Alligator mississippiensis: one gene and its partners. The protein of the gene in region 2 binds, or shares a complex with, the protein of the main gene of each other region. Links are inferred from orthologs where the notes say so. Each region holds a gene or a part of one and is shown on either strand. Other genes may lie near its edges.

Region 1 (6,999 bases), on a different chromosome or scaffold from region 2:
GGGATAACTTTGTCAGTGTTTTCCAGTATAAAGTGGAAGCAGGAACTGCCTTGGTTTCCAGCACATTGTCAATGTCCGAGTTACCCTGCACCACAGCATACTGTTTGGGTAGGTAGCAGAATTTAGATTGTTTTGTTTTTTTAAATAGAAGCCACTAATATGCATTTATCTCCCTCAGAGAAATATCTATAATTATCTGTTATACTAAACAGGGGTCTATTGTCCTGACTGGAATATGCATCCATTATCATACCAGTGATACAAATAATAAATTGGAGAGGGATTCATATGCGAATCAGTATTTAACATTTGTGATCTTTACCACTATAATAAAAAGCATTTGTGGACCTATGAAAGGCACAAGATTCACAGGCTTTCTGTTGAGGATCTGTATTTACCACTTAACACACAAAAAAAGTGCAATTTTTTTTCCCCAAAAAGACAAATTTATTCTGCTGCTAAATGACTAAAATTTCCTGCCAACGCTTATAGTGGGCACAGTAAGAATGCCCAATTCCAAGTTATCAGATTTCTCCAGCATGACATGCACTATCACTTGGTTTAGAATTACAGACCCCTATACTTTTTATTATTCCCCCTTTCATATAATACACAAATGCTAAAGCACTTAATAAACTGATGAGATTGATATCTTGAGCTAGGCTATCCTGAGTCAGTAACAGTATCATAAGTCAGTAACAGTTAAAGCACATGTAGTATTAGTTGTCCCAGCATGCTAAGAACAATCTTGTAAGGGAGGACAAATGCAACATGAAGCATTCCCAGTGAGGTGCTTCAGTGTTTTCATCCATGAAATGTTTTCAATCATTCATTCAATGTTTTCATCCAGTTTCATCTTTCATCCAGTTTTATCCATGGTCATTTTTAAACATTTGGGCTGATTTGTAGTGGAATATATTTTATATTACACTGATGAACTACATGGAAGATTTTGTGAAAACCCAAAGGGTGAATGAAATACTATACAGGTAAATTTGCTATGAAAAAGCGAGCTATAAATATTAGTGCAGGGGTTGTCAACCGGGAGTACGCGTACCCCTGAGGGTACTTGAGAAGGCCCTAGAGGGTACACATGGGCAGGTGGCAATGGAGCACCACCTGCCCAGCCAGATCTGAGGGGGGGAGGGGGAAGCTTGCAAGCAGCAGCTGCCACACTGCATTTGGCTGTGCGACACCCCCCACCAGCCACTGGGGAGGGTTCAATAAAGAATGCATTATACAGTGTAACTAAGAGGTTTCTAAAGTATGCAATACAGTAAAAGCCATGTTATCCGGCACTTTATTAACTAGCATGTTCTATTAACCAGCATGCTGGTCAACACTGCAAAAGTGAAACTGGAAGTCCCACTTCCAGTTTCACCAAGTCCACTTCACCAATTTTGGGGCATGGCCCCCTTCTTGTCCCCCAGCACAGCACACTGATGCCAGCAAGTGAAAGCCTGGCACCAGTCTGACCAGGCAAAGATGCCTCTCAGGTAACCAGCATATTTGGTTATCCAGCACCCCCCATTCCCCATGGGTGCTGCATAACAGAGCTTTTGCTGTTATAAACCAAATGAAAAAACAAAACACACTTCCACCTAGCCTGTTGAATATACAGCCAATTCCCACACAGCCAGGCTCACACAATCCTCCATGATATAATCCAAGTGCTCAGAATTCACCTCTGCTTCAAAAAGAGAGGAACAAAACTTATTTTTCAGGGGGAGAGACTTCATTAGAGCATGAATTCAAATATTTACCTCCAGCATTCGTGGTATCCATCCTTTCCGATAACCATATGGAGGCGGTTCTCTGCGTGATGAAACCAGTGCTGTTTGTCTTGATCGCTGAGCTCTTGCTCTTTCTTCTAATTCTAGCTGGTCCTGAGACAGCTGAGTTGGAGCTGGCAAAAAACTGCAAAAAATGGGAGAAGGAATTTTAATCTTATATTTTCACACTCTCCATGCCTGAGATTGAATGCAGTACTTGATTCTGCTACTACGGTATTCAAAACAATTGTTCATCTGTCCCTGGTCTGTATTGGATCATACGCAATGTACAACACTTGAGCATTTCACTTTCCAGTTATGCAGCAGCTACTCTGGAATTTAAACGGAGAAGAGAACACAGTCTCTCCCCACCAGGCCAAAAGATTTCTATGGGGTTTGATAAAACCATCATCCACATTTCCACCCCCCTGGCTCCAGGGCAGGAGCCATATCTACCTTCTCTTTAGCAAGGCAATAACGAACTTGAAAAACCCTACACAAGTCTGCATCTAAGTATGCTTTCCACTGCTCTTGACAACAAGGTGAAAAATATCCAAGTTTCAAGCATTTCCATACCTAAGTGACTTAATGAAAAAAAAATAAGAAAATTGTTTCTACCCTAATTATGTGTGGTGCAAAGCACTAGGCCCAAGGAGGGCTTCCCCCTTCCATAGCACTAGTGCCCTCTTCCTTCTGGACAGAAGCAGAAGATCCCAAACTCTGGGGAAGCCTGCGGAGGCTGCCTGCCTGCCTGGTAATAAGGCCCCTTCTGACCCTGCCAGGGTCTGAGGAGCCTGGAGAGCAGCTCCCGGGGCGCAGCGGGGTATGCCCGCTCCCGGGACTGGAGGGGGGGGGGGCGCTTCCCGCCGAGCAACCAGCCACCCCCTGCTCGGGGAAGCCGGGGGGGGGGGGAGGGGAGAGAAAGGGGAGCGGCTGCCCTCGCGCAGGACAGGGCGGCGGCAAGGGGCTCTCCCGCCCCAGGGCGGGACGCCCAGTGCCGGCCATGCCCCCCAACGGTGCCGGGCCCCGGGGGTGACGCTTGCCCCCGAAGCGGGCGCTCCCAGCTGCGGGCCGGGGCCCCTGGAGCAGCGCCGGGGCTGGAGCCCACTCCCCCACAGCCAAGGAGCGCTGAGGCCAGGCGAGGAGGGCGGGGGAGAGCCCCGACCCCGCACCGGGGCGCACTCGGCCGACCACACCGACCTGGTGAGCGCCATCTTGTCTCCTCCTTTCTCTTCACCAGGCTCCAGGCCGTGCGGCGAAGCCGGGTGCCAAACCGAGCAGGCGCGGGCGCGAAAGGGCTGCTGGGAGTTGTAGTCTCTTGTCTCTATTACGCAGGGCGGTCACATGATCCAGTGCGCAGGCGCACAGGCTGAAGGCTCCCTCGGCGCGAATCTTGGTCCCGCTAACGACTCTAGGCGGCTCCAGTGTTCCACTGCGCATGCGTAAAAGGCTATTGCTTTGCTCGGCGCCGGACTGTGGGCTGGGCTTGTAGAGCTGCGGGGCTGGGGAGTACGTGCAGGATGGGGCCTGGGTTCTGCACCAGAGCTGCAGAGCTGTTCAGGGGCGTCTGCTAGTTGCAGGCTCAGCCCAGCCTCTCTTGTGCACCACAGTGGGGTCCAATAAAGGTTGATCTTTTTTTCTTTTTTTTAAGGAAACATTTTCATGTTCCAGGCCAAATCAGACAAATCCATTCCAAATCCATGACTTATTCAAGAACCATATGTGGCCCTACTACCAGCAAACATCCTCCACCCCACCTGGGGCTTCAGATGTTTACAAATTATTTGGCAGGCATCCTATGTGCAGGTCCAAGCCCAGAGGCTTGGGGTTCAGATCCCCCCAGGTTTTGCTTGCCCTCAGCCATATGGCTTCAGGAGCAAGCTAGGGAGGAGTCTCCCAGTTCCATCAAGTGGGCATAAAGCTAAGATCTTCCCACTGAAAATTGAAGTGGGAGAGTATATATTACCTCTGTAGGTACTACCCCATGCCAGAAAAGTGGTTATCTTCTGTCCCTGGGAAAACCTCTATGGTGATCATGGCATTTTCGCATCATTCATGACAGATGGCAGCATTGCGTGGCCCCAAGCAGCAGTGCCTTCACTGTGACATTACCTTGTTGGGCACCCTCATAGCACTGAGCTCTGGGACCTGATCCGTGGTGGGTACCATGGCCCTATCTTCAGTACGGAGCCAGCCTGTGGCACTGGCGCAGGGCTGGCATACCTGTGTTTGCAGGGTCCTCTAGCGTGGTGATGTTCAAGCTTTTTGACCCCATTGGCCAGAAGAGAGGCATAGGGCTGGTCTATAGGCCAGAAGAAGCCCTGCACACTGCCATTAGGCCCCACAGGGCCTCAGCTGGCCCCTGCCTGGGGCCTGGCACTACCTCCTCCCTGCCCCAAGGAGCAGGAGCAGGAGCAGGAGCAGGTCCTGAGGCCTGGCACAGCCCCTGCCTGGCCACGGACACTGGTTGGAGTGCAGGGCCCAGGGCTCCCCACAGGTCCAGACATCTGGCAGCAAGGGAACTGTGCCACCACTCCCACTCCAAACCCATGGAGAGCCCTGCAGGCCAGATGATGTGGTACCAGGAGCCAGATCTGGCCCATGGGCTGAGCCCCCCATCTCTAGTGCAATGGCTCTCAACCATTTTAGATCAAGGCACCCCACTGCAGTTCTGAATTTAGTGGTGCCCCTTTTCAAAATCCTATAAGTGGTGACAGGTTTAGAACTTTTTTTCTGAAGCTTCTTTACCTTAGATGAGATCTCTTCACAAAAATTATTTATAATGTTTTAATTTAAGCACGTGGGAGAAGTTGTAGGAACACAAGAAGTCAGAAAATGAGACCACTGCAGGGTCCCAGCCCCATAATTACATGGGTACAGTGCTTTCACTACAGGATAGGGACTAGGGTTTGCAGACCCCTACCCTGCCACACCCTGAAAGTGCACCACTGGCACTTTCGGGCGTGCCTCTGGCACTTCCGGGTTGGTGGGATCAGCCACGGGGGGACCACATCTCCTGGCACATTCCCCAGCCAGTGCTCTCAGGGGGGGCACTAGTGCTCTCGCTTGCCCCCCTGCCTGGGAACGCTGCTGTCAGGGGGTGCCCCAGCGCTTTCAGGGGGTGCATGTACACCCCCGTGCACCCCCTACACGTCACCACTGGCAGCAGCAGACTCTCCCACAAACAATTCAGGAAGAGAGACATTTTCTGCAAGACCCCAAGGAAAGCCCCTTTTTCTGCAGCTTGGATGTAGGGTCTAGCTATTGGAGACAATTTAGGATGCTGGGAGCCAGTGAGTATACACTTAGCCTGAGTGAGAGAGGTAGAAAACAGCCTATGCAAACTGCCCAGTGCCTCAGTTAGGACACAGCCCCAAGCTTCAGCTCCACACCTGCTCCCAGACTGGCCCCGCAGCCCCACATGTCTGTACCTGTCCCTTAATCTGCAGCTTCTGTTTCTCCCACTGTTGCTTCCTTGTGAGAAGCTGCACCTCATTCTCCATTGGCTCATCCTCCCCAGTTCTCTCTCCATAGGCACTGGGGGCTACCAACACCACCCAGTACAGGCTAAGCCAGCTCAACCAGCCTCTCCTGACTTTGAATGCTTTGAGTGGCTCCACAAGACCCCTATGCAAGGCACAGACAGGTCATGCCAGGCCACTTCCAGAAGGATGCATACATGTTAAAATGTCCTTAGAAACATGTTGCAGCACCCCAGGGTACCACAGCACCTGGCTGAGAATCACTGCTTTAGTGAAGATGCTGCATATATCAGCCCAAAGGTTTTTCTCCCTGCATATTTGTACCACCTCCTGAACTAGCATAAGCTAAGCCAATAAAGCCCTTTTCTGCCTGCATAATGGCATCCATAGCAGCAGTTTTGCTAGCATTACTATGTCAAGTAGGGGTTGTAATCTTTTCAACGCTGTGTCCCTATAGCTGATGTAACTATAGTGTAGACCAGGTTAGTGTCATGAAGTACCAACAAAATGAGCCAAAATTATAGTTTCCTGCCCCCTTGATATATTTCTGGTATCTGCAAGCTGCTGCTGCTGGGAGAAATGTTCCAGAAAATGTGAATAATCCCTAAAAATTACATCAGGTGGAGATTCTGAAGGATGGGAGCTTGATAAAATATTCAGATATTTTCTCAGGCCTCTTTTATAAAAAGCTCCCAACAAGCCATGCAACTTTACTTTTTAATTACCTATCAGAAGGACAAAGTGTCCCAGGGAGGGACAGAATATATTGTGCAAGTAGGACTGCAATGAAGCTCTTTGCTAATTTTGATATCTAGTACCTGGATACCACAGATAGATGCATTAGAGAGAGAATGATAGAGAGAGTGATGAAAAGTGCTATGTAAGTGGTAAATATTATGATCAGTATTATGAAACTCTGTCACATTTAAAATGTTCTTAACTAGGCTTAAAAGTAAAAAAAAAATCTTTTGTACTAAATTTAAATGCCAGCTGCTGCACTGTATGTGTGTACTGGGCATACATTCACATACCTCCACAGAGGTTTTTTCCCGTGATTCAAATTTCCAAGAGGCTGAAAGAGAAGGAATCTTTTGAGATTTAGATAAAGAAAACTGTTCATGGGAAACCCCCCCAGAAAAAAAACAGTAAATTCTATTAGCCTGTGGAAGGTAGACCAGTTTTACTAAAAGAAGTTCATCATGAAATAAGGTAGTGCTGGGAGTAGGGATGGAAGAGTCCAGTTCTCCATAAAGTCAGTAGAACAAAATTAATTATTTATTAATTATTACTACTGCTTATATTATATTGGTACTTAAGGCATGGCAGAAAGCAGGGCTGCATTGTGTCAGGCATTGTTTTAGATACAAGGTAATAAAAAAATCCATGCCTGGAAAGGTTTACTATGTAGCCCAGGGGTATCAAAGAGTCCAACCAAGAGCCTTTCAAAAAGTCCAGCAAAGTCACCTCAAAGACGTCCTTCCAAATCAATATGTTTCCTATTTACAATATAAATACATTATATACATATTACTCATCTATAATTGATTGAGTACAAAATTCTGGGGTATTTTTGACTGAAAATAGGGTATCAGGAACCAATCCCCAATTTATAACATTGTTTCTTATGAGAAAATTGGCATCAAGTTACAACGTTTCGACTTAAGACCCGGGTTTTCAGGAATCCATTGTGTCGTTAAGTCGGAGGACTGACTGTCTGTACTCTATTCTGGGCACTTCAGCCAAAG
Region 2 (7,299 bases):
TGTTTGGGATGGGTGGCGGCAGTGGTGGGAGGGGAGTTATGGGGGTGGCTGCAGCCACCCCAAATTTTGCCGTAGAAACACCTCCCCCAAAGACCTCCCAGTGCCATTGCTGCCCACCTTGAGCGTAGCCTGGCCCAACCCCTGCTTCCCTACATGCCAGAAAGAGCCCAGTGCAGCCCCAGCCTGCAGCTGCAGCCCCCTTCCCCTGCGTAGATCCAGGGGCACCTGCCCCGCCCCATGCCTTCCCAGGGTACACGCAGCAGCAGGAACGGCCCCACTCCTGCCCTGCACCCCCCAGATGAGCTGTGGCTCCATCCTGTGCCTACCCTGACCCAGCTGAGCAGCACTAACCCCTGCCACAGCCCCATGCCTTCCCTTACCACAGGGCCCTTGATCTGCACCCCCCACACCCCTTCCCTCCCCCCTCCCTTTCTACCACAACAGACTTACCAGCTGCATGCAGCTCTCCAAGTTGCTGGACTGTACTTGCTGCTTGTGTGCTGCACTGTGGCTATGCACTTACACGGGCATTTATCAGCCAAATTATTGGCCATATCAGGCCGATTTCCGATACAATCAATTTTTTTTACATCTGTGCTGATCCAATATCGGACCGATGTATCGGTGCACCTCTAGTATGTGTTATAAACCACCAGACCAGGAGGGTGAGGTGGATGAAGCCTTCTTCAGACAGCTAGTGGAAGTTTCCCAATCACAGGCTCTGGTTTTCATGGGGGACTTCAATCACCCTGACATCTGCTGGGAGGGCAATACAGCAGTGTGCAGGCAATGCAGGAAGTGTTTGGAGAGTGCTAGTGGCAACTTCCTGGTGCAAGTGTTGGAGAAGCCAACTAGAGGCCATGTTCTTCTTGACCTGCTGCTCACAAATAGGGATAAATTGACGGGGAATGCGGAAGTGGATGGCAACTTAGGTGGTAGTGACCATAAAATGATAGAGTTCAGGATCCTGAGGAAAGGAAGGAAGGAGAGCAGCAGAGTAAGGACCCTGGACTTCAGAAAAACAGACTTCGGCTTGCTTAAGGAACTGATGGGCAGGATCCCCCTGGGAGGCCAGTCTGAGTGGGGAAGGAGTCCAGGAGAGCTGGAGTTTATTTTAAATAAACCTTACTGAGGGCACAGGAATTAACCATCCTGATACACAGGAAGACTAGCAACTATGACGAAAGACCAGCTTGGCTTAGCAGGGAACTCTTCAGTGAGCTAGAACACAAAAAGAAATCTTACAAGAAGAGTATAAGAGTATTGCTTGGGCACAGAAGGATAAAATCAGGAAGGCCAAAGCACAATTGGAGTTGCAGCTAGCAAGGGGTAAGAAGGGTTTATATGAGTATGTCAGCTGCAAGAGGAAGATCAGGGAATGTGTGGGCCCCTTACTGAAGGGGGAGGAAACCTTGTGACATGATGTGGAAATGGCTGAAGTCTTCAATGCCTTTTTTTACCTCAATCTTTTACCACAAGCAAGGTCAGCTCCCAGGCTGCTGCACCTGTCAACACAGTTTGGGGAGCAGCCAACAGTGATGAAAGAACAGGTTAGGGACTATTTAGAAAAGCAGGATGTTACAAGTCCACGGGCCTGAACACAATGCACCAGAGGGTGCTAGGGGAGGGGTTGGCTAATGTGATTGCAGAACCACTGGCCATTATCTTTGAAAACATGGTGATTGGGAGAGGTCCCAGACGATTGGAAAAGGGCAAATATAGTGCCCATCTTTAAGAAAGGGAAGTAGAAGGATTCAGAGAACTACACCCTACAGCAGGGGTGGCCAGTTATTTTGGGCAGAGGGCTGTTCACTGAGTTTTGGCAAACCATCAAGGGCCACATGACAGGCAGTCAGGGGCAGATGAATATTAATTTTCTAAAATTTTTAGGGGCCCCGTGGGCTGGATAGAATGGCCTGGCGGGCTGCATTTTGCCCATTCCTGCACTACAGGGACTGAGGTGATGCCTCACCTTAGTCCCAGAAAAATCATGGAGCAGGCCCTCAAGGAATCCATTTCTAAGCACCTGGAGAAGAAGATGATTAGGAACAACCAGCATGGATTCACCACAGGCAAATCATGTCTGACCAACCTGGTTGCCTTCTCTGATGAGATGACTGGTTCTGTGGATATGGGGAGAGCAGTGGATGTGATAAAACTTGACTTCAGCATGGCTTTTGATAGGTCTCTCACAACCTTCTCACAAGCAAACCAAGAAAGTACAGGTTGGATGAATGGACTGCAAAGTGGATAGAAAACTGGCTGGATCATCAAGATCAATGGCTTGATGTCTAGTTGGCAGCTGGTATCAAGTGGAGTGTCCCAGGGATGGGTCCTCACGTTGGTTTTGTTCAATATCTTCATCAACGACCTGGAAGATGGGATGGAGTGCACCCTCAGTAAGTCTGCATATTACTTTGGTTCCAAAGAAGATGGAGCTAAACTGTTCCCAGTGGTGGTAGATGACAGAACAAGGACCAAAGGTGTCAAGTTGCAGCGAGGGAAGTTTAGGTTAGATATTAGGAAAAACTCTCATGGGGAAGGTAGTAAAGCAGTGGAACAGATTACCCAGAGAGGTGGTGGAATCTCCATACTTAGAGGTTTTTAAGACCCAGGTAGACAAAGTCTTGCCCGGGATATCTAGTTGGGGATGGTTTTGCCTGAGCAGGGCATTGGATTAGATGACCCCCTATCTTTTATAATCCTCTGAGCATCTTTGACACCCTTATGTTAGGGGAAAAATGCGAGTGGAAGAAAAATGCTTCAAAATTAAAAATGTTCCAGGCCCAATTTAAACATGAAGAATCAAAACAGGATAAAAGTCTTTACTGGCTTGAACTTGCGTTCTTAAGATTGCTTTGTGAGCTGTCTATTTAATGACCCCTACATCTGGCACAAAAGGCAAGAAGACTATTGGTGGCTTTTTCTAAATCTGATCTAATCTACAGGGTTTTTTCCTTTATGATGCTTGTGGGTTTTAAAATAGCAGTTCCACATCCCAATTTGTTCTTTCCCTTTTTTTTTTTCTCTCTCACTTTCCCAGAGTCCACCACAACATCAATCTGGTCTTTGATCTGATCTCAGAACACATTCTCAAGGAGATTCTCTTGGTGATAGTGGCTGCTGGCTCATACAACAGGAACCACAACACTAATTTCTGGGGCAAAAATTAAAGTTGGATGGAAATGAATAAAGAAATTACCACATACAACTAAGGATTCTGATAATTAAAATGGCAAGTATGTGTACAGTGCAAATGGGTGAATTTATGTTTTCCTTTGATGTTTGTACTCAGTGCCCACTAAAAGACTTTGTATGAATCAAACCAAGAGCCTCCCACTCTCAGAAATCTGAAAATGCTGGACCGTCGTATGAAACAGTTTTGAAACTGCAATAGAAAACCCAAAGCCAGCTGGGTCAAAACCAAACATGGATCTGTGTACCGCTGTGAATTTGAAGCCTTCAGCCACATCATGGTCTTGTTGGACTTTCCGTTAATTCCAAAAATTAACCTCGGAAGTGGCCAAGTTTGACCTCGGGGCTCAACACCTGAGGCTTTTACAAACTGTTGAGGCTAGCAAGCAGTTGGGCTTCCAAAGTAAGAAAGCTTTTGCAGGTTAATGAACTTGTTTTCTGGAGCTGATCATCTTGATTGCATAAAAGGATTTTAGTAACGCATCTGTTGGGTGAGAAACAGGAAAACTCCCTTAGTCATGTAGGACCTCTAGTGATCAGGCTAGTCCAAATGGAGCACCGGAGTCTGGCCCAGGGAAGAAGCAGAGGGGAAAGTCCTTTCGTTTTAGCTGGGGAGCAAGGAGTGGATGGACAGTAACATTTTAAACGAGGTGTCTGGTTTCATAGGGACTTTTGTGTCTTCTATTGACTAGCTCACCATCGCGTCCTGCTGCATTTTGAATGAACTTGCAAGTGGAGAAGAAAAAGGAGAACGTATAGGAAGAAAGAATTCAAACGTTTTCGCGGTTTGGTACACAGCTGTTCTGGGCAGGAGCTCAGTTTACAGCCCAAAGCGACCCTGCCAGGAAAAGCAAGGCAGCCCCCCCGGGGCGCCGGCTGCAGGAGGTGGCGCAGGGCCCGGGCACTGCTCGAGCTGCACGAGACGCGGGGGCAGCCGCCGCTGCAGTCATCGCCCAGGCGGCCGGAACGTTCCCTCGCGGCGCCGGCTTCCGGCGGGGCCCTGTGCCGTGGGACGCCGCCTGGCCGGAAGTGGCTGCAGCCGCGGCCTTCCGGGCAGGAGAGGCGTTTCGCAGCCCTCGGCTCCTTCCGGCCGGGCTCGCCCCGCGCGCACCCGGGCACAGCCAGGGGTCCCCCGCCGCGGGCGGGCGGGCGGCGGTGTCTTCTCAGAGCAGCCCCCGCCGCCGCCGCCGCCGCCATGGGGAAGAGGCAGCACCAGAAGGATAAGATGTGAGGGGGAGGGGCGCAGGGACCGTTGGGCTGGAGCCGTTTGGAAGGGGGGGGTAGAGGGTGGGCAGGTGATGGGGGGCGCCAGCGTAAATACTGGGGTTGGGAGTCTTGTCCCTCATAGCGGCGAAGGGGAGCACGAATCACGAATGGCACCTCTAGGTGCCAAGGACAAGCTTCATGAAGGAGCTTTCTCCACTGGACATACTTCCGAGTTGTTTTATTTGCACCACCTTTGGGAGCTTTGCTAGTGTCGGCCTTCCAGAGCGTGCAGGCTCCGGCAGCTCCGAGAGCAACGGCTGCCGGAGACCACCCGAGGAAACGCTTCAGGCCTCAGAGCACCAGTGTGGTTGTGGAGGCTCGTTGTCCCACCCGACGGGACAGCCTAGGATGCGTGCAGCGGCATGGCAGTGCTCCTGGGGCAGGCCGTGGTGCCACCGCACTTGTTGCTGCTACAGGATCACCCCAAAGTGGCACTGAGCATCGGGTGCCAGTTGTGTTGTCTCTTACGCCAGGCCAAACATCGGGGCCTCATGATGCCGACTGCCCCAGTGGGGCTATGGAGGGTGAAGAGGTGAAACCTTGGGTAGCTGAAGATATTTTATTTCTCAGAATGGCAGTCCCAGCGAATAGCAACAGTTCCTTAATATCTGCTAAACAGAGTTAGTGCTATCCCGTAATGCAGCCAGAATTGACTGTTCTCCTTTCTTCTCTTTAGGTACATAACATGTGCAGAATACACAAACTTCTATGGAGGAAAGAAAGCAGGTAAGCAACTGAATGCTGCGCTTAATTATTTCAGTGTTTACTTCTGGTGACAGTTCTTATTTTGCAGGCTTGTTCTCACTTCGCCGTTGTTCCATCTGGAGCAGTGATCCCCGCTGCCCGTGCTTCCTTCTCCTTCCATCAGCCCTCAGTAACTTCTCTCTGAATCTGCTCTAACAAGTTGAAAATATATTCCTCCTATGTATACACAGTTCAAGATTTGTCTTATCCCTTTGATGCGTCTGCTGCCTTTGACATTGATGGATGCACTCTCCTTTGCCACATCCCATCCTTGTGCTCTACGATCATATCCCCCTCCTCCTCCCCCTCTCCCCCCTGAGGTTTCATTGTTCATTTCCCATCTTATGTTCAATGTTTGTTTCTCTCTGTTGCCCTACTTTGTTAGAGTCTTTCAAGGCTTTGTTCTTAGCCTTTTCTCTTTCCCTGTATACCCTCATGCTGCTGTGCAGTTAGCTATCACCTTTTTATTGTTGCTATTCAGGTTCTTCACACTGCTCATCTCCTGTGCCTCAGTCTTGCATTTCCTTCTTTCTGTTAGACCACCCTGGATAATTCACTGCCTTTTCAACATGGGTAGATGTAAATTCCTCCTAAATCCTCTGCAATTCCCATGTTTTCATCTGTGGTTGTCTTCTTCCCAGTTATCCTAAGTTCCTGATGCCAACTGCCTGGATATCTCTCTAACTCCAACCTGTTTCTCTCTTCAAAAATCAGTCTTGTCCAAGCCTTGCCATTCTTTCCTCCTCTTACTTTCCTTTTTTTTTTGTCCTCCAACTAAATTGCTTGTCCATGGCCTGAGTGGGCATGTCTACACGCGCATTTAATTCATAGCAATAAACTCCAACACACATCGCACAGGAGTTTATTCCTCCCAGGCCTGCTGTTTGAATGTGTGCCCAGGACCTCATAAAGTTGAGCCAGACCGGAGCAGCCCTGGCTGGCATGGGGCCCAGGGGGGTCATTCTGCCAGCCTGGGCCTGCTCCCATCTGGCTCAACATGCTGCAGAGGGGCAGGCTGGAGCACAAGTATGCTCCAGTGTGGGGCTAGCCAGTAGGCAGCCCCTGCACTAAAGCACCTTCATGCCCTAGCCAGCCGGGTCAGCATCTACAGATGCATTGTTGCTTACAAAAAAACTGCAGCAGGATAGTACCTGTATTTACAAGTACTAACCTGCTGTGGAGTTCAGTAGTTTCCTGCAGCCTAATAGGCCACACATGTAGACACCAAGACATTTGCTGTGGAGCTAATTGAGCAACTCCACAGTAAACATCTTGTGTAGACATGCCCAGTATCTCCCATCTACAAGTATCTTCTCCTATTCCAAAATGTCCTCACCTCAACCACATCACCCCCATATTCCAATTTTGGCTTTCTTTACTGATTTTATGTTCTCTGTTAATTTTTTTTTTCACTCTTGACATTGAGCCCTGTTTCTGCTTTCCTCTGCTTATTGTAGCCATCTTTGCAAGTAATATCAGTAGAAAGGCCTCTTTTTGTATCTTTTTTCACAGACATTTCTCTCCTTTTCTTCTGGCTACCACTTGTGTTTGGAATGTCCTCTCCAAACTTGTATACATAGTGAATCTGATAGCATTTGGTATATTGTCAATTTCAGTGTTTCTTCTTAATAATAAGTCAACTTCTTTTGGTCTTTGGGTTTTTAAAACAGCAACAAGGGGGAGTGAGTTTAAAAATGAGGTAACATGGTACAAAACCACAAACAAATGGAAAGGGAATAAAGATAAATCTGGAGCTATTTGAAATGTTGGGCTTTATTCATTTGCATACTGTCCTTTTTAGAGCACACTTGAAGTTCCAAAGATATTGATGTACAAAGTGTTGGCTTTTGTTTATAGTTTTGCAGGATTTGGAATGATTATTTTTGTTACCTATGAATTATTACCAGATGTACCAAATACTGTGGCTTCCAAACATGTATCATGTAGGGTTGATTAAAAATGTCTGAAGAACTGTTAAATATTCAAATGACTGTTTATTCAGAAAAAAAAAATGTTTTATGTTTTTTGCAAACAGATATTCCACAAGCTAATTTTAGACGCTTATCTTTTGATCATTGCAGGTGAGACACAAAA
Region 3 (7,219 bases), on a different chromosome or scaffold from region 2:
GGAGTCCCCTACCTCACTCAACACATCTCACTAGCAGCATAAATTTAATTTGTTCCTTAAGCACCGCTCATCCTATCACTGGATCCAGGCAGTAGCTCTGCAGGGAAAATAGCCCAATCATGTAAGTGCTATGATAAAGGAGACAAAATTAATGGACAACCTTCTTAATTCTGGGATTTCCTATATATACAATTGTATACCATTTCCTATATATTTTTACATAAAAGCAAATCTAATATTTGTTCTTGAAACAACACCTCTCCCCCATCATTAAAAATGCAAGAATCCTGAACCTCCAGTACAGGTCTTTCACATTTAATGCAAAAGACTGATTACCCAGCTCGCAGCAACAGAAAGTCACTTTCTTCTGCGGCCCAGCCATTAAAGGACAGCCCAACAGACTGAAACACCAGCTACATCTCCAGGAACTTCAACCACAAAGAGATGGTGTGTTCCATACAGTGATCATTTAAGAAAACTGTGTTACATTCCACATTTGTACACCCCCTCATCATTTGCTGTCCTCACATTGTTCACTTGGCTTCTGCCCCAGTACCTCTTCCCCCCCCTACAGTCTGCGTCTGCCTTGCCCATTTAAACTGCAGGTTCTTTGAAGTAGTATAAGATTGTGAAAAAAACAGGATTATGGCCAGGAGGAATATAAACAAACAAAAATTTTAGCTCCTCTAAAAGTGGAAGGGGAGCTAGTCCTGGGGAGTGTGCTACTACTGTTAAGATGCAACTATTACAGCTGTGAATGCTTGTGGCCATACAAAAGTTAACCTTTAAGCCTGGAAGCACTGCTAAAGTTGGAAATACTTTTATAGTGATACAAGTGTAGCAAAACAGATCAGGTTTTAGAGCACCCTGCAAATCTGTACTGGTTTAACTAAGGTTTTACTACTTTAAAAAGTTTTGCCATTTAGCTATGCTTACAAAGTAAGAGAGGCAAAAACCCATGCTGCAGATGCCCATACCTGCATCAAAATTTGTATGTGGCTACAGTTTATTCATTTGGAAAAGTAAAATAAAATATAAATGAAAAAATGTATCAAGCAGGCATAACTATATGCACACAAACACTTCTACTGACATAATTATGAAGTGGAAGGGTTGGGGGACGACTTTCTCCCCTTAGCATCCTCACTATGTTGGTAAGACTTTAAGTGGAGAAGTTTAAATCAATTTTGTAAACGTGCCTTTAGTTAATCCAGTGCAAGTTTGTGTGTAAACAAGACCCAAGAGGGATATTGCCACAGCCACTTGTGTGTTGAGACCTGGTTCTTATGATCAACCCACTAGCTCTCAGCATCTCCCAAAACAACTCATTAGAAAGTTAAACGATATTAGAAAATAATATTCTTCCTTCTTGATTTATTACCATGACTATCTATGATCTGTAAACCAGAGTCTTCGAAGCATTTTCATGGCAGTCTATGAGAACCGCTGGCAGGTCAGTGCTAGCTTAGCGCGCTGCTTCCATGGCCCTAGTGGCTTCTACAGGCAGCCAGGCTCTCGCAAGAGCCCCTTCCCTTATAAAAAAGAGCCCAGCTACCTGTAAAACCAGACAGAGACACGGACTGCAAGCATCAATTTCTAGCAAGAGGGGTAAGTTATGTTAATGAACATGCTGGAAAGCAAATGATGTAGACGGGCAGCATAATCAGAGCTGACAGCACTAACGGCCACCAGGCACACACGAGAGCAGAAGGTCAGAGGGAGACACAGAACATAACAGAACTGATTGGTAAGGATTCCCATAAAGAAGATACTTATTATTCTAAATAGCATCCAAAAAACTGCAAATCTCTGCTCCTTTGGCATTTAGCAACAGCTGCTTATTGTAAAGGAGACCAGAGGGAGTCTAGATGACCACGACTATGGGCAGCCCTAACAATCTGTATTTGGGCGAGATCTAGATTATTAGAGGTCCAAAACATCCATTCATTGTCTTCTGGACCAACTGCTAACCTTTACATGAGACATCTTTATTACCTGAACACCCAGCACTGATACACAAATAAAAAATATGAATTGACATTCTTTATCCTAGTGCTTGGATGCAATCGCAGGAACTTGGCCACCAGACATTTCACAAGAGGTGTCCCGAAACATCAATATTTAGGGAAGGCGGTGGAGTTGCTTGGGAAGACAGAGGGGGTTTTCCAGCCGTGCTTTATCAACAACTGGAGCCTCCTACCTGTGATGGTGCCATGCACCTGCGTGCCATTCTTCAGTTCGATGGTGACAGTCTCGTGGCTCAGCTTCATCAGAAACCTGCGGAACGAACCACAGGTAAACACACACATCTTCTGTGCCCAACACACAGTTAAAAACACATCCTAACGATGGAACACGGCAAGGCCGTGATGAGCACACATTAACGATGCTGGGGGGCTTCAAAGCAGCACCCAATAATGTAGGAATCCATCAGGGACCTGCAGCCCCTTGCCAGGGACCTTCAGGCAGGTGCAACAAAGGCAGGAATGGGCACCCCAGGGGCAGACATCCCAACTCCCCCCACCTGAGTTCAGCAACTCTGCTGGGGCAGGGGACATGCATGTGTGCGTGTGCCCCACCCTGCACATACGGCCTCGTGTCGGCCGCTCCCAAAGTTTGGTCCATGGGACCGAACCTTGGGAGCAGCCGGCGCGCGGGGCCGTATGTGCATGCGCAGTGTGCGCGCGTGTATTGGGGGGGCTCCGAAGCCCCTCGCGGGGGTCTCGGCGCAGTGTGACCCGGGCAGGTGAGGGGGAAGAAAGGAGCAGACAAGGAGCGCGAGGCTCCGTGAGGGGCAGCGGGCGTTGGGGGTGTGAGGCAGGAGGCGGGAAAGGCCCAGGCCCGGCGCGCGCCACTCCCCGCCGCCGGGGCCCGCTCCTAAATCCGGCTCCATCCGGGCCCTCCTCACCTCACGAGCTTCATGGCGGCAGCCGAGACCGCGGGAAGCAAACGGCCGGAGAAAAAAAGAGAAAAAAATTGAGCCCGGTGCGGAGGCCTCAGACCAGGCCGCGCCGGAGGCTCGCGCCAAGGAAGCGGCAAAAGCTACTAACAAATGAATGGGCGGAAGCGGCACCGGAAGTGCGTGTGAACGCGCGGCCGCCACCTGCTGGCTAGGGGGAGGCCTAGCAGCGTCTGCAAGCGCCGCGCGTGAGCAGTGGACTCCTGGGCGGGGCGGGAGTGGAGGCCAGAGGACACCGGATTGGTTCGGCCCCCGAGTGGCGGGCTTCAGTCACGTGCCCCAGCTTGAATCCGGGCAGGAGGTGGGCCGGCCGCATTGACTGCTTTCTTTTACTTGCTCAGCCCAGTGCGGGGGCGGGGGGGAGGAGGAGGAGGACAACGGGTCCCAGCGGAGGGGGCAGAAGTGGCATGAACGGGAGTTGTAGGAGAAACCCGGAGGTTTCCAATAGGAAGCCCCAGTGCCAAACCCTGCTGCAGCCAAATACTTTTGTCTTATTACAAAAAAAAAAAATAAATAAATGGAAAAAACTTAAGAGCAGGGAGGGCATCCCTCCTTGGTTTAAACGTTGCCCCCCCCCCCATCTTGTTTTCATTTAATTGGTGGAAATACATGACATTCACTTGTCCATGCCATTCTATTGGCTGTGCCTAGAGCTAGGTCAGGGCACAGCTAGGAAAAGCAGGGCTCCCAGGGAGAGGGGCCAAGGCCTTTTTCTGTGATGGCTCCACCCTTTGTCACTGATTGGCCAAAGGGTCCTATAGGTCCAGCCCTTGCTGCCAATTGGTCATGGAGACATACCTCTTGCTGCTGATTGGCCGAGGGGGCCATCTCTCAGCAAGGGGCTACCCTGGATTCTGGGAATGTCAGGGGTTCCCTACCTGGGGGGGCTCCCCAAGTCCTGGGTCCAGTGCTGGGAAGCCAGGCAGCTAGAACACCTGCTTGCTAGTGCACAATATCCCCCTTGTGCAGACCTCTCCTTGGCATTCTTAACCAATCCACAAGAAAAAAAAAAGGGGGGGGGGGGGTTTCTTTTGGGGAAGGGACAAGAACCTGACAGCAAGTAATGAGAGTTGTCGGGGAAACAAAAATTGTGGAAATAAATTTCCTCTCTTTAGTCAAGCTGTCACAGGTCAGATACTAAACTGCTGGTTTTCAATAAGGGGTGGATCCAGCCCCTTCAAAAAAACACTACTTTCTCATTTTTTTATATTTAATGAGTCAGATACTCTAGTTCTCCCCGTACCCCTCAGATGCTCCAGTTCTCTGACCCCACCCCTCCCCTGCAGATGGTCAGAAACATCTACAGAAACACTGAAATACATTTTAAAATGTTGCAGGAGTGAGTGTTTTGATACAGGACGTATGAGTAGTCACTTCCTTGGTCACGTTTTTTGTTAAAAAGAGGATATATAAAGCAAAAACGTAGAAGAAACTGTGTGGGCCAGGCCCCGATCCCGCCGCCAAGTGCGAGTCGGGAGGGGCGATCCGTGGCCCGTCTTTTGCACACGTGGGCTGTGGCCAGCAGCCCGGGCACACGGGGTCGGAGAAAACCAGCGGTGAGCTAGAATCAGTCACAAACGCGTAGTGGTTGATTGAAAAGATTATTTACTTACACCCAAAGATGGTAGTGGTATAGGCTGGACAGCTTTCCAGGTGCAGCTCCGCTTAAATCCTCGCTGGAAGACTACGACAAATTCCTTCCCATGGAGTTGTTTAGGCTCCACAGGTTCGGCAATTCTTTCCCACGGAGTTGTTGAAGCTGCACGGGCTCAGTTCGGTTCCCTGGTCCCCCGGAGTTGTTAAGGCTCCGTGGGTTCAAAAATTGGGTTTACAGGAAAGGGATACGTCTGGGATTGCGCTCGGCGACGGGGAGAGGCTGGAGGCGGTTCGTTCTTTTTCCTTTTTCCCTCCAGAGTAGTTAGAGCTCTGGGGGCTTGATTATTAAGCCTTTATTGCCTGCTTGAGACGCGTTGGGTCCGTGAGGATCCGCAGTGCTTAGAGATCTTCACACTGGGTGAAGTCTCCTCCTCCTGGTGTTCGTGGAGTCCTCCAACTTGGGCGGAAACAACTCGAGCCTTTTGTACAGCTAGCAAGCCAATAGCTAGCCGCCACGCGTGCCTACATTCAGAGCCGGCCAATAAAGTGGCGCGAATCTGAATACAAATGGCGAGAACTCCTTTGCACCGTACATCTCTGAGATGCAAAAGAAATGCACCCTGCAAAGAAGCTGCAAATTGGTGGGAAATCCCCTGTTGCACCAGAGTTCTCTCCCGCAGCAGAGAACTCTACCGTGCAAAGAAAGCTACAATTTAGGCGGGAACAATAATTTAGCGGTGCCAAAGCACACACAAACAAAAACCACAACTTTGGGTTGTGACAGAAACCAACCATAGTACTAGTCTTCACCCCTCACACTTGTGTAGGCAATACAGAACAAGCTTAAGGGGAGGAAATTATTATAACTAACTCATTTCTAGGCTTGCTTCCAAAAAGGAGAGAGAATTGTTATGCTAATTTGAGAATTTTCACATACTAATCATCCATTAAAATTAAGTGCAAAATAGTAGGACCTTGTATTCCCCCCCCCCATTAGGCCTTCCTCCAGTGTTGTTGAGTGCTGCTTGCCTATAAGGTACAATTAAAAATATTTACCTCTAAGGGAAAAAAAGACCAAAAAAAAAAAATCTAGAAAAGATTGAAATTTTATTGTAATTTATGGAGTACACCATATGTGAATTTAGAAATACAGACTTTGCAAAGTACTGAAGGAGAGACACCCTTCCAACTCTCAAAACATACATCAGGTCTTGCTACATAGGTACATTAACCATTCAAGTTTGGTCTTTGTTGCAAACTCTTAAACAGAGGATGCACAGAAGATTTACTTGAGCCACGTTTCAAAATGCCCCGCTAGTGAGACCTTCCAATCATTATTTTAAGCTATGATGCACGCTTATCTATTATGCAGTTATGTCTGAGATTAAGTTAGAGAAATTTCCAGTTCAACCATCAACCGATATTTCCATTATAGTATCTAAAAAGCTAGACAGGTATTTTGCTTTTTCCTTACTAGTATAAGTAATGTACAGATAACAGGTAATGTTTAAAAACAAAACCCAGAGAGGCCTTCAGAAACATTTGAGGTTAAAATGAACAATTACCATTGCAAAAAAACTGTACATATTTTCAATCATAACACAATGATACACTGCAGCATCAGTTTTGTGTACTAGTTTCAATAGTGACTAACAGTTGTGCTAACCCTAGTATTCTACATTTTTCTTCTAATATTTAAACTTCATAATTGCAATATGAATATACAGCTGTACTTACAAGAAATATTAAACAATGCACAGCGTCTTAAGCAAATTTCATGTCTGGTTTTCCTGAAACCATATAAAATAAAATGGCAAAATATTTTAAAATTGGTCCTTGATTAGGATTATCTATTTTTTTAAATACAGCTTGGAAGCACTAAATTTAAGACACACATTTATTGATAACTAACACAAATTATTTTTGTACCTTAGTCTTTTTTTTTTTTTTTTTTAAGAAGTGTTACAACATCATGCATGAAAAGCAAGTTGCTTTTGCTCCCAAGTGCAAAAAAATGGAATTTAAGAGAAGTCCATCTCCCCAGAGTTGTTTTCTTCCACAGGTTACCCCAAAATGTATAGAAGCAGTGACTAACAAAAAACAATGTGGAGTGCATCTTCTACATGGTGACTGTTCTTAAAATAAGGTAGTACTTTGGACCTTTAGCATAAGAGGGTTCAATAAACACAGTAGAAGGAGTTTTACATTCTTAGGTTTCATTTATATCTTGAGACAACTTGTATTTGAATTTGAATCGTGCTTAAGCTGTCAAACTGTAATACAGTATTGTCTGAAGACTGCAATATTTAGGCAGTGCCGACATTTGCTGCTTCAGAAATGTCTAATCACTTTCTTATTCTTCCCTCCCTAACAATGATTTAATTGAATATTGCATCAAAAGACAACACACATTTTAAACAAAGCATTAATACACATTTTTGTTTAAGTTTGGAGCAAACAGAGTGATATGTATACAAATAGGACTCTTGCTCACATGGACTATTATGACAAATGAAATTCAACTGTAAAATCTAGAAAGCAAACTCCACTTCCCTGTTCTTAGAGTGAAGTTATATTAGCTCAGAACATGATTTGAGTCTATCATAACACTCCAACATCTGGGTATGTTGACACATGAGCAGCACCACAGACCTCTCCCATCAA
Region 4 (7,316 bases), on a different chromosome or scaffold from region 2:
CATGTGAACTCAGATGAAAATGCCTAAATCGTTGTAACATGTTTTAGTTTGGTGAAAGTTTGGGTAAGAACATGCCTATATTTGGGGGTGGAGGGCAGGGGAAGTTACCCAAGATATCTTGCTTTAGCTGCTATTGACTTAGGCCTATCCTTCAGAGAGACTTTCCTCTAGAGCAGTGAGAGACAAACCTTTCAGCCATCTAAATCCTGGGGATGAAATGTTCTAATAATGCAATAGCAATTGTATAAAGTACATAAAATCCCTAAGGCTAAGCAAGGGTTTACACATCATTGACACCCAGATCCCAATATAGAAAGAAATGCTCAGAACATTGTTTTACAAGCGTTAACATGGTGTATATCATCTGCCTCCTGGTCTGAATTTACTCTCATGTCCTTCCTCAAAGGGAGTTTTCAACCAAAACACTTGCTCTTCTCTATGGCATTAGGGGGCACTGTGCTGTCAGAGGTAACGTCTTTTTCATAGGAGAGACAGAACCCTGGTCACTAGAAATCTCATGGCAACTTTTACAAATAGAGGGTTAACAGTCCAAAGAGTTCAATTGAGCAGTTATCCTGTTTCATCCCAGAGGTGGCTACAATCCAGTAATCAATAAAAGGGTTTCTAGAAATCTCTTTGCTACCTCATACAGAGGGTATAGGGAGGCTTAATTATGTGATCTACTGATGGAAGGTGTTATTAAAAGTAGTATGTCAGTACTAATTGTGTTTGCAATATTTGATTACTATCTGTTACATGGTGCATGGGTAAGGACAGTACTAACCTGTCAGGCATCCCACACTAACAGTGTGTGCTACTTGCCTGAAGTCTTGCCAGAGGAAGTTGTAATATAGATGGGACCCAAGGGTATTTAATTATCCAATCATCTCACCCTGTTTGCCATTTGGGATTAAAATCTGACATTGCTGGCTCCCAAGTTTATATTTAGCCCATGCTGACTCACTGTGATAGGATTGTATTATTTGGTATAAATCATTACCATTAACTGCTGACAAGAGCAAGAGTAACAAATGAATATTGTACTTCCACAGGCTGTCTGGCAAAACCTTAGCTGTTCTCAATGACTGTCTTATGCAACAGAGACTTCCCTTAAAAATAACTATTAGAATTGAGTTGTTGTTCCAGTATTGAGGGACTGGCCTAGTCCTATAAATATGTATTTTGTTAGCACTGCAGCATGCTACTGAAATGAAGGGGAGACTTGCCTTAAGCTAAAATAACAAGCCCCAGCCTCCTTTCCTGCTCTCTCATCCTCCCCTTACATTGTTCCAGTTACTGTATCCTAGAGAGGTTCTTATCACCATTATGTTTGGCTGCCATCCACTATTACATTAAACAGCACAATTAATCTCTGTCGCAGTGGCTCGTTCTTTCTCCAAAGCTCAAATGGACCACTGGGTCGAAGCCGTGAGGCTGGCATCCCATGACTTGCTAGTGCTCCATTAGCACTTCGATAAGCGTTTAAATATAATCCTTACCAATTGCAAACTCCACAAGAGTCTCGTTGTCCTCCGTGAGCGCGTCCAGGAACAAGTCAAGGACTTGAAGCTGCCGGAGATATTCATAATTCTTGGGATCATAGGCAAAGTTGGCTAAATTAGCCAGTACTTGTTCCTTGGCTTCTGCAACATAAAAGCAGCTTCAGATTCAGGAAAGGGACAACTGATAACGGGGACAAGCTGTAACTGAATCCACTATGATGTGGTAGCAGAGTAACTATACTGCTGCAGTGTCCTACTTTGGCCCTAGAGCAGTGGTTCTCAAACTGGTTAATTCAAGGCACCCCATGGAAAATGCTAACTCACCTCGCGCTCATTTTTTTGACTGCGGAAAAAACAATCCAGCAATTCTTCTGTTGCAAAGAATTCAGAAAGACCCCAACAAGTCACAATGCTTTTGACGCTGTGGATTCCTATTTGAAATCTCTTGGGTTTATTTTGTGACTCCTGTAGATTTGTCATTGCAATGGCACCCTTATAAGGATCACACAGCATGCTGGCTGAGAATCACTGCTCTACAGGCTCACATTCAAGCCTTGCTCTTGGCTCATCCTGAAGGATGCTCCCAGCTGGTACAGTGGGAAATGGGCACCTGGTCATTCAGACTGTGGTGTTGAATGGGTAATGCCAGCCACATTGTCTTTTTGTGTGCTGCTGGCTGCTGAAGATGGTGTGCCAGTCCTGGGGTGTCACCCCCGCTATTAGACTGGGGCAGACCTTTGATTTTGTCCACGCAGTGCACAAGGGAGAGCCGTGCAGACCAGCCAGCTGACCCGGAAGCTCAGCAAACACCTTAATAAAATAAAAAGTTGCATCCCACAGTCTCACCTGAACTCTCCGTCACTTGAAACTCAGTGACAAGGGCCTGCAGGTACTCGAGCCGCCCCAGATCCATTGGATCCTACTGATCCTGCAAAGAGAACAACAGGGCTTTATTTTGGCGGGCCCTAGAGTCTCCCATCTTCGCTGCTAGATTAATACAAAGATGTTTGAGTGAGCGTTAAACAGTCCCTGGATTTTCTTTGGAGTCCCTTCAGACCCCCCAGGGGGATCTCACGGGGTCCTCTGGCAAATGTTAACCTGGTCAAGGCTTGGATAGGGCTGCCGCTAAACACGGCGGGGCCCGAACAGGGCTGGGGACAGCTGCAGGTTCCCTGGCTGACCCCCACAAGCATTGTTTGCTCTCCCAGGACAAGTGTGGCCAACCTGCGTGGGCGTGCCATGCAAGCCGGTCAGCGGATGGGGCTGGGAGCAGAAAGCAGAGCAGCAGACTGGGCAGGGAGCACAGTGCTGGGAGCAGAAAGAGCAGCTGGTTAGGTAGGGCACAGAAAGCAGAGCAGCAGTTAGGGCTGGGAACAAAAAGAGCAGGCAGGCAGCACACCCCATGGAGCAGAAAGCAGAGCGGCAGGGGAAGGGCCCGGGGATGGCGGGACCTGCGCCCAGGACCGCGCGGGGCCCGAACCGGCGGCAGGGCAGGAGTGGGTTCACATGGGACAGCGGCGCCCCGCGCCTTGCAGGACAGAGGGCGGAAGTGACGTATAGGGACGCTCAGGGAAGGGCGGAAGTGGCTGCCGAAGGCGCTGAGCCGGAAGTGGTTCCTGTGTCTCCGGGTGGGGGCGGGGCCGGTTTGGGCCTGGGGGCGGGAGCGCTGCGGGCCCAGGAGCAGGAGCTCGGCCCCCTCCCCCGGTCACTGAGGAGAGTTGGGTTTGGGCCAGGCCAGGTGTTGGCAGAGCCCTTTTACCTACTTCACCTCACGGATTGCACCATAGGAGGTTGTTGCCCTGAATCTGCACTGGGGAAAAGGTCTAGTACTCACTGACTAGTACTCACTAGCTAAACCTGCCGGGGCACGGCTGCTTTCCTCGTTGAGGTGACCCTCTTCATTTTGGCTTCTCCGTCTGGAAAATGGAATCATAATAATTCCCACTTCTGTCACGAGCTGATATACGAGGGCTCGAACGGCTCGGCTGTATTTTTGCATGCATGAGCGTACATGCCGCTTGAAGGAGTTTTTCTAGCCTGTTGTTTCCGCTGGGTGGGTGTTGCACACCTTCTGCCCAGCCAATAAGACGTGTAGCCAGTGTCTTTGCCTGATGGTTCATCCTAAAGTGGGACTGAAAATCTCAGGCATAAAACACCCAGTCTTGACCCCTGAAGATTGCTTGGGGTGACATTCACAGCCCGCCTCCAGCTCTGGATGAGAGAGGGGTTTTTTTGCCTATATTTTTTGCTTGAAAAAATGAAGGGCCCACTCTCCCTGGTCAGGAGATGAGTACTTGCACTTCAGACTCGGCAAGTCGTGGAGAATCGTTGCAGTTCTGGACGGTGGAGTCTTCAATGACCCTCTCGGAAGGGTCAGCATTTCTCTTCGGTGTTAGTTACCTGCTCACCTTTGTATTTCCCTAGTACAGACTATTTGTCCCTTGTCCCATAACTTCTCTGAATTGTTTGTAATCGCTTCATTGAGTCACTACTAGGAGAACAAACAGCTTGTTCCCAGACTCATGACATTGATCAGCCTCTTGGCAGGCCCGGGCAGCGCAAGATTTACTTACCCTGGACAAAACAGAAGTCTTTATCCCAGCATCTCCCCCTTTCTTTACTTCAGTAAATGATTAGAGAAACGGATTTGAGAAGCAAAAATTCACAGGGAAGGGGCAGTGCGTGCATGGGTGGGAAAGGGAGGAATGATGTGTGTTTTTGAAATGTATCATTGGGCTGAGATGCTCAGGGAGCGGGAGAGGGAGGGAAATGTCAGAACAAGAGTTAAAAGAGAGAGACAAGGCAGAGACTGCAAAGTGGGAACAATACTGGCACCTCCAGATGTGTGAATGAGAACAGAAAAAGTGGAGTGAAGCCTGGGCTGTGACAGAAACATGGGAGGCCACGACAGGCTAGCAATACAGTGCCCTGGTTTGAATACAGAGTTGCATCAGCTTAACTGACAGTAATTTGAAACCGGTTAAAGTTCATTTTTAAACCCATTTAAGCTAAATGAGTGCAGCTCCAGAGTGTGGGCATGGCTTAAACTATGAAGCAGGGAACTCATTGCAGAGACAAATGATTGATGAAACGAGTTAAATGCAGTACTGAGTTACACATCAGATGATGCCAAATGACCTGGCTGTAGCCAGTTAGATACGGTGGTACTTCTACCCAAGCTTATAGGTTGAGGGCAAGCCTATGCTGAAACTTTTGCTGGTGTCATCGGTGGTGGGGTTCATCTTTTTGAGGGGCCCTAGGTGGTGGGTCTGTTTCGGACCCTTGTGCTTTTTAAGCAACCAGACCAAAACTGTTGTAATGCAAGAAGGGTCTCTGTCCAACTTGGAGCTCAGTGCAGTTGCCAAGTTTGTACTCCCCCAATACCACCATGGATATAGTGATGTCAACCAAGTTGTTAATGACTGAGTTAGACACTTCTGTAGCAGCAGAAGCCCTAATGCACAGAGCCCTACCAGAAGAAAATGCATTCATTGGCATGGGTTATGTTATTTGGGGAGCAGGTCATAGCTATGCTGCAAAAGCACCTGTTTTGCTGGTCCAAGCAGCATCTGCCCAGGAGGGCTTGCTGGTACGAGTCCACTGGGAAATCTTTTCTGGTGTGAACTAGATCTGTTGTTCTTGCTGAGGTTTCTAGAAATAGAAGTGGTGTGCAGAAGGCAGCAGTAAATTCAGGGGCCAGTGTGAGGCTGTGAGGGAGGGGGAAGCCCACTGAGGTGAGTTTGGGAGGTGAAATGATGCTGAAGTGAAGTGGAGGGGGGGGAGAGAAGGATGAGGGGAGTTGGATTGAATGGGAGGGGGGGGAAGGAGCAGGGAAGGAAGAGGGTATCTAGGTCTGAACTTGTGGTCCCTCAGTCTGTAATTCTGCACAGAGGAAAAAAGGAGAGAGACTATCACTCTTCTGTTCTTGCGCACATGTCTTGAGCCTGCGTTAGCTGGATTTGCTAGTATATGTGCTATAGGGATGCACTTCAGGTCATATTATTTAATGCTTAGTGAGTGGGAAAATCACTTATCAGCTCAGGGTGAGGGGCCCAGCTTTGCTTGTCTTCCTGTGACCCACTAGATCTGTTTTCTGAGGTCTTTCTCTTGCTTTGACATAAGCCCAGATTGATTTAGAATCAGAACAATGGAAATTAAGGGCTGGAAGGGACCTCGAAAGATCCTTGAGTCCAACCCCCCTGCTCTGGGCAGGAATACTACTGAGATCAAATGATCACCAAGGTGTCGGTTCAGTCTCCTCTTGAAGACTTCCAAGGTTGGACACTGCATCACCTCCTTGGGAAGTCTGTTTCAGAATCTGGTCACCCTTACTGTAAAGAAGTTCTTCCTTACATCCAACCTGAAACCATTCTCTAACAGTTTATGGCCATTGCTCCTTGTCCTCCCCTGGGGTACCCTAGTGAACAGTTTTTCTCCCAGCTCCCGATGTACACCCCTTACATACTTATAGACAGCTACTAAGTCCCCCCTCAGTCTTCTCTTCCCCGGGCTGAACAGTCCCAGATCCCTTACTTTTTCCTCACAAGGTTTGTCCACCAGGCCCTTAATCATTCTTGTGGCCCTTCCAAGATTGTCCACATCTTTTTTGAAGTGCAGCACCCAGGACTGGACCCAGTACTCCAGCTGGGCTCTCACCAGCGCTGAGTAGAAAGGAAGTATCACTTCCTTAGCCCTGCTCGTGATGCATCTGTTAATGCATCCCATATGCTATTAGCTCTGTTGACAGCATCGCCCTGGCTGCTCATGTTCATCCTCTAAACATGAAGGTGTGTGTGGGGGGATGTTTTTGTGGTGGCGCTGCTACCCCCTGGGAGGTGGGTGAGACAATGTTCACCTGGCTTCTGAGTTGGAGAACTTGAATGTAAGATTTGTGGGAGGCTGACAGACAATACTAGTCACGTTCTTGACAAGACCTGTTGGGAGAGTGGGTGCATTTGTCCCCTTTAAGCTGGCTCACTGCCATGGTTTTCTTTACAGACCGCTCAACAGCATACAGAATTGGATCCCATGAGCTCATCTTTTTGGCATGTGACACTTGCTGTTTATCTTAGGGATTGTTAGAGCCTTTCGAAGTCTGACTGCTGTCCCTGCCAGGTGTTTGCCAGGACAGTTGATGACAACCAGGATGATATCATGGAGGAGGCATGTACAGGGGTAGCCCCTGCAGCTGCAATTCGGTGAGTTTTAGGTTGTAGCATGTGTGTATCACCCCAGTCTCCAGCATGGCAATCTAGGGATGGGCTTGATTCTACAGTCATTAGTGCCTTAAATACAGCTGAAATGGTACAGATTGTGTCTGAATGTCACCCTTCTCAGCTCTGGTTTTTATAGGACCGCAGCAATGGTTCCATTGGTTAAATATCAGTGAGAATGTGAAGTTTGATTAGAATCCTTGAATATTTAAGTCTGAACTTCCTGGTTTGTATGCCACAGCCGTACACAGACACGCTTACTGCAAAAGTGCGGAGGAGCCCAAAGGTTGATGAGACCTGCAGAAACAGAGCAAAGGGGCCTCGGAGGGGTGTGTGTCCCTGGCCAATTCTCCTTGTTCTGCCTAGGTTCTAGTAGTTTATAATCTGGTTGAGGCACTAGTGTTTGTATATAATTAAAGCTGATTTCAGCTTGACTGTCTATGGGAAGTCGGTAAAAACCAGTTATGCTTGGTAATTAAGTGGGGCTGCCTTGCATCATTGGATGACCTTAAGCTAATGAAAGGAACCTTTGTTACGGGTTTCTTTTTCTTTATGTTCTCAATCTTTAGAGCTTGTGGCCTCCCCTTCCTGTCCTCTTGTT

The links.
Region 1: PPIL2 (region 2) and SNW1 share a complex: the UniProt entries of both Homo sapiens proteins name them as parts of the minor spliceosome. The link is inferred for Alligator mississippiensis from reciprocal best matches to the Homo sapiens genes PPIL2 and SNW1.
Region 3: PPIL2 (region 2) and SNRPD1 share a complex: the UniProt entries of both Homo sapiens proteins name them as parts of the minor spliceosome. The link is inferred for Alligator mississippiensis from reciprocal best matches to the Homo sapiens genes PPIL2 and SNRPD1.
Region 4: PPIL2 (region 2) and ARMC7 share a complex: the UniProt entries of both Homo sapiens proteins name them as parts of the minor spliceosome. The link is inferred for Alligator mississippiensis from reciprocal best matches to the Homo sapiens genes PPIL2 and ARMC7.

What each region holds. Positions count from the first base shown.
Region 1 is NC_081825.1:263,413,005-263,420,003, forward strand, and holds the start of SNW1 (SNW domain-containing protein 1), read right to left. Parts: upstream 3,076-6,999; 5' UTR 2,987-3,075; coding exon 2,973-2,986; exon of another isoform or gene 2,701-2,972; intron 2,499-2,700; exon of another isoform or gene 2,391-2,498; intron 1,918-2,390; coding exon 1,764-1,917; intron 1-1,763. UniProt on the Homo sapiens protein: Involved in pre-mRNA splicing as component of the spliceosome. As a component of the minor spliceosome, involved in the splicing of U12-type introns in pre-mRNAs.
Region 2 is NC_081833.1:14,803,639-14,810,937, forward strand, and holds the start of PPIL2 (RING-type E3 ubiquitin-protein ligase PPIL2), read left to right. Parts: upstream 1-4,240; 5' UTR 4,241-4,390; coding exon 4,391-4,422; intron 4,423-5,137; coding exon 5,138-5,187; intron 5,188-7,240; coding exon 7,241-7,286; intron 7,287-7,299. UniProt on the Homo sapiens protein: Has a ubiquitin-protein ligase activity acting as an E3 ubiquitin protein ligase or as an ubiquitin-ubiquitin ligase promoting elongation of ubiquitin chains on substrates.
Region 3 is NC_081828.1:137,214,246-137,221,464, reverse strand, and holds the start of SNRPD1 (small nuclear ribonucleoprotein Sm D1), read right to left. Parts: upstream 3,061-7,219; 5' UTR 2,923-3,060; coding exon 2,909-2,922; intron 2,278-2,908; coding exon 2,201-2,277; intron 1-2,200. UniProt on the Homo sapiens protein: Plays a role in pre-mRNA splicing as a core component of the spliceosomal U1, U2, U4 and U5 small nuclear ribonucleoproteins (snRNPs), the building blocks of the spliceosome.
Region 4 is NC_081831.1:12,291,372-12,298,687, reverse strand, and holds the start of ARMC7 (armadillo repeat-containing protein 7), read right to left. Parts: upstream 3,063-7,316; 5' UTR 2,983-3,062; exon of another isoform or gene 2,902-2,982; intron 2,431-2,901; 5' UTR 2,416-2,430; coding exon 2,349-2,415; intron 1,644-2,348; coding exon 1,500-1,643; intron 1-1,499. UniProt on the Homo sapiens protein: As a component of the minor spliceosome, involved in the splicing of U12-type introns in pre-mRNAs.